Linked DNA regions of Macaca mulatta. The main gene of each other region encodes a partner of the protein of the gene in region 2 in a complex. Links are inferred from orthologs where the notes say so. Each region holds a gene or a part of one and is shown on either strand. Other genes may lie near its edges. The genes, in order: GON7 and OSGEP.

Region 1 (4,462 bases), about 73 Mb from region 2:
GATTCCTGTCTCAGCCTCCCAAGTAGCTGGGATTACAGGCACGCGCTACCATGCCCGGCTAATTTTTTGTATTTTAGTAGAGACAGGGTTTCACCATGTTGGCCAAGATGGTCTCGATCTCCCGACCTCGTGATCTGCATGCCTTGGCCTCCCAAACTGCTGGGATTACAGGCATGAACCACTGTAGCCGGCCAAAATCCACTTTTAAAAGTGTACCGCTTAGTGGTTTTTAGTATATTCACTAGATTGTGCAACCATCACCACTCTCTAATCCTAGAACACTTTCATCACTCCAAAGAGAAATGAATTATGCCCATTAGCAGTCACTTTCCATTCCCCTCAGCCTTCGGCAACCACTAATCTACTTTTGTTCCCCCTTAATTTTTATTAGTGAGAGGGTCTTGCTATGTTGCCCAGGCTAGACTCAAACTCCCAGGTTCAAGTGATCCTCCTGTGTCAGCCTCTAGAGTAGCTGGGACTACAGGTGCCCACCACTGCACCCAGCTCACTAATCTCTCTCTATGGATTTGCCTATTCTGTACATTCATATAAACAAAATCATATAACATGTACCCTTCTGTGTCTGGCTCTCACTGTAGCATAATGTTTTCAAGGTTCATTCATGTTGTAGCACGTATTAATACTTCATTACCTTTTATTGCTAATAATATTCCATTGTATGGATACACCACATTTTGTTAATGCACTCATCAGTTGATGGATATTTGCATTATTTCTATTTTTTAAAATTATCATTATTTTTAGAGATGAAGCGATGGGGCCTCACTCTGTCCTCCAGGCTGGAGTGCAGTGGAACAATCAGCCCACTGCAGCTTCAAACTCGGGTTCATGTGATCCTCCCACCTCCTAAAGGTGCAACACCAAGCCCGGTCAATTGTTGTTTCCACATTTTAGTCACTATAAATGCTGCTGCTATGAACATTCATGTGTAAGTTTTTGTGTGAACATACTTTCCAGTTCTCTTGCGAGGACTACCAGTGGAACTGCTGGGTCATGTGGTAACTTCATGTCAACTTTTTGAGGAGCTACCAAACTCTTTTTCCCAGTGGTTACACTGTTTTACATTTCCACCAACAATGTACAAGATCTCCAATTTCTCCACATTCCAGCCAACACTTGTTATTGTTCTTTTTGATCATAGCCAACATCCATATTATCAAGATGTAATTCCCAAGATGGAAGGAAAGTACAGTTTAAGCTCTTCTTAGAGAATTGTAAATCCTAACTCTAATATCTATTCTTGGATTTTTCAGCTCAGGACAGTTAAAATGTACCTGCCTGGCCAGGTGCAGCAGCTCAGGCTTGTAATTCCAGCACTTTGGGAGGCCAAGGCAGGTGGATCACGAGGTTAGGAGTTCGAGACCAGCCCAGCCAACACAGTGAAACCCCGTCTCTACTGAAAATACAAAAACTAGCTGGGAGTGGTGGCGGGCGCCTGTAATCTCAGCTACTTGGGAGGCTGAGACAGGAGAATCACTTGAACCCGGGAAGCAGAGGTTGCAGTGAGCCGAGATTGTGCCACTGCACTCCAGCCTGGGCAACAGAGCTAGACTCCATTTCAAAAAAAAAAAAAAGTACCTGCCTATTTCTGCATTCGAGGCAATTTTTAAAAAATAATGCAGTTAAACTTCACGTTTCTACTTTCAAACTGCACCTACAAAACTGGAAAGGTAAGGGAGTCTCTAGGAGTTAATACATGTTAAAATTAAGTCTGTCCCACTCCTTGGAACCTGTTCCTACTCTGCGATAGATTGTACTCTTCCAAATATGTCTGTAGTTTCACACCTGATAAAACTCCTTTTTATTCAATACTCCAGCTCAAAAGTCTTATCCTCTTTGAAGCCTTCCGAGGGTCTCTGGGTTTGCAACACTTACAGAGGGCCATAGAACCACGTTCTTTTTTTTTTTTTTTTTTTTTTTTTTTTGAGACGGAGTCTCGCTCTGTAGTCCAGGCTGGAGTGCAGTGGCGCGATCTCGGCTCACTGCAACTTCCGCCTCCCGGGGTCAAGCGATTCTTCTGCCTCAGCCTCCCCAGTAGCTGGGATTACAGGTGCCCGCCACCACTCCCAGCTAATTTTTGTATTTTTAGTAGAGACAGGGTTTCACCATATTGGCCAGGCTGGTCTCGAACTCCTGACCTCGTGATCCGCTCGCCTCAGCCTCCCAAAGTGCTGGGATTACAGGCGTGAGCTACCAGCCTGGCCACTTTCACTTTTAATAAGAGTGTCTGCCTGTATAATCCCCTTGTGTTTCACAAGGGCAGGAACTGAGTCGCATTGACCTCATTCTTCCTCCAGGGCTCAGCTCAGGGTTTGGCAAATAGTAGTAGGCATTCGGCAAGTTTTTTAGTGAAATAAATGAAATAGCGATGAGTCGTGGAAATGTTTGAGTAGAAGCAGCCCAAATATAGTGATAAATGCCAACAATTTTTATTTTTTAAATTATCTTTGAAATAACAATGGAAACGGGGTCTCGATATGTTGCCCTGGCTGTTCTGGAACTCCTGACCTCAAGTGATCCTCCTGCCTCGCCCTCCCAAAGTGTTGGGATTACAGGAGTGAGCCCCACTTCGCCTGGCCCGCCAAAAATTTTTAGATGCAATTCTTCTTTCCTCGAGGCTCACTTTGTCCAAGTCTGCCACTCTACACGGGCTCCCCAAGCCAATTTCCCCTGGCTCCCGCCCCGTCCTCCTGTCGCTGCAGCACCGTCTCAGAGCTCACCGTCCAGGGCCTCGTCTGGAGCCGCCGCCACCCGGTGCTGCACTTCCGCCTGTACCAGGGGGCCGAATAATTCCGTTACCAGCTCCTTCATCTGGGCCACGCCAGACAATAGGCCCTGGAAAGGGTCGCCGTCACCCGGCGCCTCACAGGACACCCGCAGCTTCTGCGGCTTCCCTTCCTGCCCGACATACTCTCCCAGCAGCTCCATGGTGACCACTAAGCTTCCAGAACACGACACCGGGAAGCGCCACCCGGAGGCGGAAATCAGCCCGTGGCCGGCGCAGGCGGCAGAAGGGAGAGGAGTGACATCCGTTTGTCGGAAGTCGCTCCTCCCCCTTCCTTCGCTTTTTTTCCTTGTCATTGGTTCCTGGCACTCGGGCCCCGCCTCCTCCGGCTACGCCCCTCGTGGCCGCTTTTCCCGCCTCCGCCGGGGCCGAGCCGCGGTTCGGGTGACAGTTGAGGATGGCCGGAGCCGAGGGCTCCGCTGGGCGGCAGTCGGAGCTGGAGCCCGTGGTATCGTTGGTCGACGTCCTCGAGGAGGACGAGGAGCTGGAGAATGAGGCGTGTGCTGTCCTGGGCGGCAGCGACTCCGAGAAGTGCTCCTACTCGCAGGTGGGCACGCGGCCCGGGCCTTGTCTCCCGCGGCTCCCGCCGAACCTCCCCTTCCCGGCCCGGCTGTCCCTATTCCCGCCTGCCGCAGTCGTCTCCCCAGTGGTGGTCCGGGGCCGCCGTTAGTCTGCCGCTTCCTTACCCCAAGCCCACCCTTCCCTTTTATCCCCAACCTCCTGGGCCCCCTTCAGCCTGTGTCCAGCAGGGGCCCCCATCTCCCCTCTCTCTAACTCTGTCCGGCCAGCCAGGAAGGACCCTGGAGCAGCTGCTCTGTCCGTCCTCTCCAGCCTCGTCCTGGTGCACCACTGCTTTTCACGAAACCAGCCCGCGACCTCTCAGATCCAGACATCTTTGTCCCTGCTTTTCCCATCCTAAGATTATTTATTTATTTATTAGGGACCAAATGGGAGACGTCAGGTTAAAGAGATTTTCAAATCCATAGGGATTTGCGGTGAGCTCCTTGACAGCTAGTTCCTCTGCAATTTAGTTTGACAAGTGCTAGCTAGTACTTTTTCTTTCTTTTTTTGGCAAAATGGAGCAAGTACCCATGTCTGTCTGCAGTCTGCCCTCCTCCCCTGGAAATAGACCGGAAACAGAACAGCAAGTGGCTCTGGCAAGGGAGGGGAGAGAGGAGAAAAGGATCTATTTGGCATTTGGAAGACGTTGTGAGTGAGCAAGTGTTTGAGGGGGTGTGATGTGTTTAGTGACTCACCCTATACTTCGAGGCACAAAAATGGAAAAGGATGGGTAGGAAGAAGACTGACAAAGGATAAGAACTGGCAGGAAGAAGGGTTACCGAGGCAGAGGGGTGGATTGGAACACTGGGGAGATGAGGGGAGAGACTTGCATTCATTATGTGGTATGAACTGAGGTCATAATACCAGTTCTCGTTGTTGACCAAGTTTAGTTTACACTGCAAAGTGCTAGATTGTTGAATAAACCTGGTATCCAGACATAGCCCCAGGTATTTTAAAACCTTTGGTCACCACTAAAACAATTTTTCGCCTGCTTTCCTTAAAAAAAAAAAAAAAGTTCTAAGTCTGTATGTAAACTATTTTTGAAGTGTAGTTACCTTTATAAAATGGATTCCCTTAATGTTTTCTTTTTATTGT
Region 2 (4,442 bases):
AATCCAGACTCTGTTAGTGCCTCCTGCAGCAGGTCTAGGATAACAGCTCGGTGATGCCTGGCTGTATCACCTGGAAGGAATCCTAGAAAATGAACACAGGTCAGAGATCACAGGGATTTTTGGTAGCAAAAGTAGGTAGGAAGTTAAAGAAAGCAACAGGAGGTTTAGTGATGTAGTAAGAGTCCTTTCACTTTCCCCAAGCATCCTATCTTCCACATTTTCGGATACACTCTTTCCAGCTTCTATATAGGCTGTTCAACTTTCAGAAATTCTCTTCCTCTTACCCTACTCAGCCTTCATGTCTCAATGCAAGTGGTATCTACCCATACCCTTTGGTGATCTTTTTTTTTTTTTTTTTTTTTTTTTTGAGACGGAGTCTAGCTCTGTCACCCAGGCTAGAGTGGCCTGGTGCGATCTCGGCTCACTGCAAGCTCCACCTCCTGGGTTCATGCCATTCTCCTGCCTCAGCCTCCCAAGTAGCTGGGACTACAGGTGCCCACCACTGCACCCGGCTAATTTTTTGTACTTTCAGAAGAGACAGGGTTTCATTGTGGTCTCGATCTCCTGACCTCATGATCCACCCGCCTCGGCCTCCCAAAGTGCTGGAATTACAGGTGTGAGCCACCGCGCCCCGCCTTTTTTTCTTTCTTTTGAGACGGAGTCTTGTTCTGATGCCCAGGCTGGACTGCAGTGGCACGATCTCGGCTCACTGCAACCTCCGCCTCCTGAGTTCAAGCAATTCTTCTGCCTTAGCCTCCCAAACAGCTGGGACTACAGGCGACGCCACCACACCCAGCTAATTTTTGTATTTTTAGTAGAGACGGGGTTTCACCATATTGGCCAGGCTGGTCTCAAACTCCTGACCTCGTGATCCGTCTGCCCTGGCCTTCCAAAGTGCTGGGATTACAGGCCTGAGCCATCGCGCCCAGCCTGGTGACCTTCTTTCTCTGTGACCCTACAGAACTCTGTGCATGATGATGTCATTTATTTAACAATTACAACATAATAATTTTCTGTGGTTTGCTCAGCTTAATCATGAGTATCTCAAAGCAATAAGTATTTTATCTTTGTATTCCCAGTGCCCAAGTGCCTAGAGGAGTGAATGCTAAACATACATACCTATTTCTAATGAGTAATCTGTCACATCACCTGTTCAGGGAGGCTTTTCAGATACATGGAAATCAGTTGCCCCTCTCCTATGTATGCAAGTGTTTGAGGGGAGAGTAGGCAAGATACAATGGCTTATTAAAAGTTGTAATGTGTTTTGTACTTTCTTTTTTCTTTTTTATTTTTTTGAGACGGAGTTTCACTCTTGTTGCCCAGGCTGGAGTGCAATGGCATGATCTCGGCTCACCACAACCTCAGCCTCCCGAGTAGCTGGGTTAACAGGCATGTGCCACCACGCCCGGTTAATTTTTTATATTTTTTAGTGGAGACAGGGTTTCTCCATATTGGTCAGGCTGTTCTTGAACTCCGACCTCAGGTGATCCACCCCGCCTGGGCCTCCCTAAGTGCTGGGATTACAGGCGTGAGCCACCACACCCAGACGTGTTTGGTACTTTCATCTAATCTTCAACACCTAATGATACAGGTATTATTCCCATTTTAAAAACAAAGACTAGGCCCGGGCGGTGGCTCATGCCTGTAATTTTCACACTTTGGGAGGCTGGGGTGGGCGGATCATGTGAGGTCAGGAGTTCGAGACCAGCTTGGCCAACATGGTGAAGCCCCGCCTCTACTAAAAATACAAAAATTAGCTGGGTGTGGTAGCACACACCTGTCTGTAGTCCTAGCTACTCGGGAGGCTGGGGTAGAAGAATCTCTTGAATCTGGGAGGCAGAGCTTGCAGTAAGCCGAAACCGTGCCATTGCATTCCAGCCTGGGCAACAGAGCAAGACTGTCTCAAAAACAAATTAAAATAAAAAATAAAGACCAAATGTCCAAAACATAAATATTTAATGTGAATACAGCACAGCCAGCCAGTTCTCTGACATGTAAGCTGGGAGTCTTTCCACTCTCATCTCTCTACTCATCCTAGAATATTTCAAAAAATAAAAATTTTTAAAAAAGGAGTGTATATTCAGGGCAACTGGAATATATACTCCTGCTAAGCGTTTTTTAAACAGAATATTTCGAGTCCATCTCTATTACACTGTTTATCATGCTGTAGTATAAACATCTATTTATATGTCTGACTCCACAGCAGTATCATAACATCTATTTCTGAATGCTTAGCACATAAAATGAGCTCAATAAACGGTAAACGAACTCATCAGATCCACGTCCAAGTGCTTGTAACTCTTCTAGTCATCAGCCTTGTGACGTTAATAATATCACATAATTTCAATAAGACTCAGATCAAAAGCTGCACCTCACTAGTATTTAGGAAGATGGAAGGCTGATTTTCTGCGGGGAAGTGCGCCGAAAACTCTTAACTCCCCTACTCACCCACCTGTGCCCGGAGGCGTGACATAAGTCCGCCGCGGGTTCGCCAGCACCTTGCCATCCCGCACCACACCCACGCCAATCTTATTGGCGCTGCCTTCAAAACCCAGCACCGCCGGCATGGCGGAGCCTGGGAGAAAACGCCGACAGGACTCCTAGCAACGTCAGGAGCTGTGGAAGTCCTCACTAGTCTGCGCTGGGCCGCAGCTTTCCGGAGCGCAGAAGAAGCGGGCTAGCCTGCAGATAACAGTGGGAAAGACAGCGCAGAACTCCCGCGAGCGGAGACCCGCCAAGGCCCCTCCAAGGACCTGTCTTCCTAACTGCCAGGGACGCCGAGCCGACTCTGTGCTTTACAATCCTATCCGTTTTCCTATATCTTTCCCGTGGTCCAGCCCAACCTTCTCCACTTTTTTTTCCCTTTGCACAGCGTTAGACTCTTAAGTCAGAGTCAAACAATGTGCCGTGCGTCGGGCACAACGATAAACAGCCCGAACGAGGGTTGGGGCCCTAGGTCTCCTAGAGAATTAGTTGAGAGAGGCAAGGCCAAGCGACTTCGTCACGTGGTGTCAGACAGACCAATCACGCGCATTCTTCGGCCATGTGACGCGTGCCTCTGATCACGTGACCAGGTCCGCTACCCACGTGGGGGGCTCAGCGTGCATCCTTCTTTGTGCTCGGGTTAGGAGGAGCTAGGCTGCCATCGGACCGGTGCAGATACGGGGTTGCTCTTTTGCTCATAAGAGGGGCTTCGCTGGCAGTCTGAAGGGCAAGCTTGAGTCAGGACCCTTAATTAAGATCCTCAATTGGCTGGAGGGCAGATCTCGCGAGTAGGGTACAAGGCACTATGAAATGATCTAGTTACGTGGGTGAGGGGCTGAAGGGCCTATGATGCACGGAGGCGGGGAAAGGATTTAGAGATAACATGGTTTGAAAGGCGGGACCTGGTGCGGGGACGCTCTTGAGAGGAGTCTTCTCCCCAGGCTTAGCTGGTTTCATGATTTCTTTGCGTCTGTAGGCAACGCGGTAAAAATACTGCTTTGGTGGGCGACGCGGTACAGGTGCCGAAGAGCGTTCGTTACGGGAATGCCGAAGCGTGGGAAAAAGGGAGCGGTGGCAGAAGACGGGGATGAGCTCAAGACAGGTAAGAATGAAATGAGCCCCTCTTCCTAGAAGCTACGGCGGGGTTGTTTGTAATTCCCTTGATGAACGGTAAGTACCGGCCAACTCATTTTTGCAGGGGTTTGTGAAGACGCAGTAACCGCAGGCTTTCGTTGGGTCCATAGCTAACGCCGGATCGCGGTTGGAAACCACCCACTTTTTATCAATATATATTACTCATTTTATAGAGCCAGAGCCCAAGAAGAGTAAGACGCCCGCAAAGAAAAATGACAAGGAGGCAGCAGGAGAGGGCCCAGCCCTGTATGAGGACCCCCCCGATCAGAAAACCTCACCCAGTGGCAAACCTGCCACACTCAAGATCTGCTCTTGGAACGTGGATGGGCTTCGAGCCTGGATTAAGAAGAAAGGATTAGATGTGAGTGGTGTTTGAGGGGAAGACACATTCTTTAGTATTGAATGATCTTAGGGTTTAGTCATCCCTTTTCTCCGTATAGCCTTCAGGCTGTTTTTTCTCCTGCCTGCAGTTTTCGGTGGGGCTTCCCCAGTCTTGCCAGTTGTATTTCCTAAATGTCTGCTCCTTCACTTCCATTGCCATTTTCTTTTTTAATGTTCTCTCCTCTTCCCAGAATGTTGCAAAAACCTTTTACTATACTTCCTCCATTTTATCTTCAGCATGTCCTCCATTTCATTAATTATAGCTTAAAAATCTTAGCTTGCCTATAGAAAAAACACATTCATAGTATAGCACGTAAGACTTTACCTCTGTTTTCATTTATCTAGCTTCGAATTGTTTAAATATTATTTAACCTCGAACTGCTTGACTGTTTAACCTGTGCATATTTATGACTTGGCATATATTCAATAAATGTTCTGCTGAA

Evidence for each region.
Region 1: OSGEP (region 2) and GON7 share a complex: the UniProt entries of both Homo sapiens proteins name them as parts of the EKC/KEOPS complex. The link is inferred for Macaca mulatta from reciprocal best matches to the Homo sapiens genes OSGEP and GON7.

Annotation. Positions count from the first base shown.
Region 1 is NC_133412.1:166,458,690-166,463,151, forward strand, and holds the start of GON7 (EKC/KEOPS complex subunit GON7), read right to left. Parts: upstream 2,970-4,462; 5' UTR 2,950-2,969; coding exon 2,742-2,949; intron 1-2,741. Other genes in the region: putative E3 ubiquitin-protein ligase UBR7, read left to right, coding at 3,204-3,353. UniProt on the Homo sapiens protein: Component of the EKC/KEOPS complex that is required for the formation of a threonylcarbamoyl group on adenosine at position 37 (t(6)A37) in tRNAs that read codons beginning with adenine.
Region 2 is NC_133412.1:93,253,044-93,257,485, forward strand, and holds the start of OSGEP (tRNA N6-adenosine threonylcarbamoyltransferase), read right to left. Parts: upstream 2,978-4,442; 5' UTR 2,568-2,977; coding exon 2,453-2,567; intron 83-2,452; coding exon 1-82. Other genes in the region: APEX1 (DNA-(apurinic or apyrimidinic site) endonuclease), read left to right, coding at 3,529-3,586, 3,792-3,979. UniProt on the Homo sapiens protein: Component of the EKC/KEOPS complex that is required for the formation of a threonylcarbamoyl group on adenosine at position 37 (t(6)A37) in tRNAs that read codons beginning with adenine.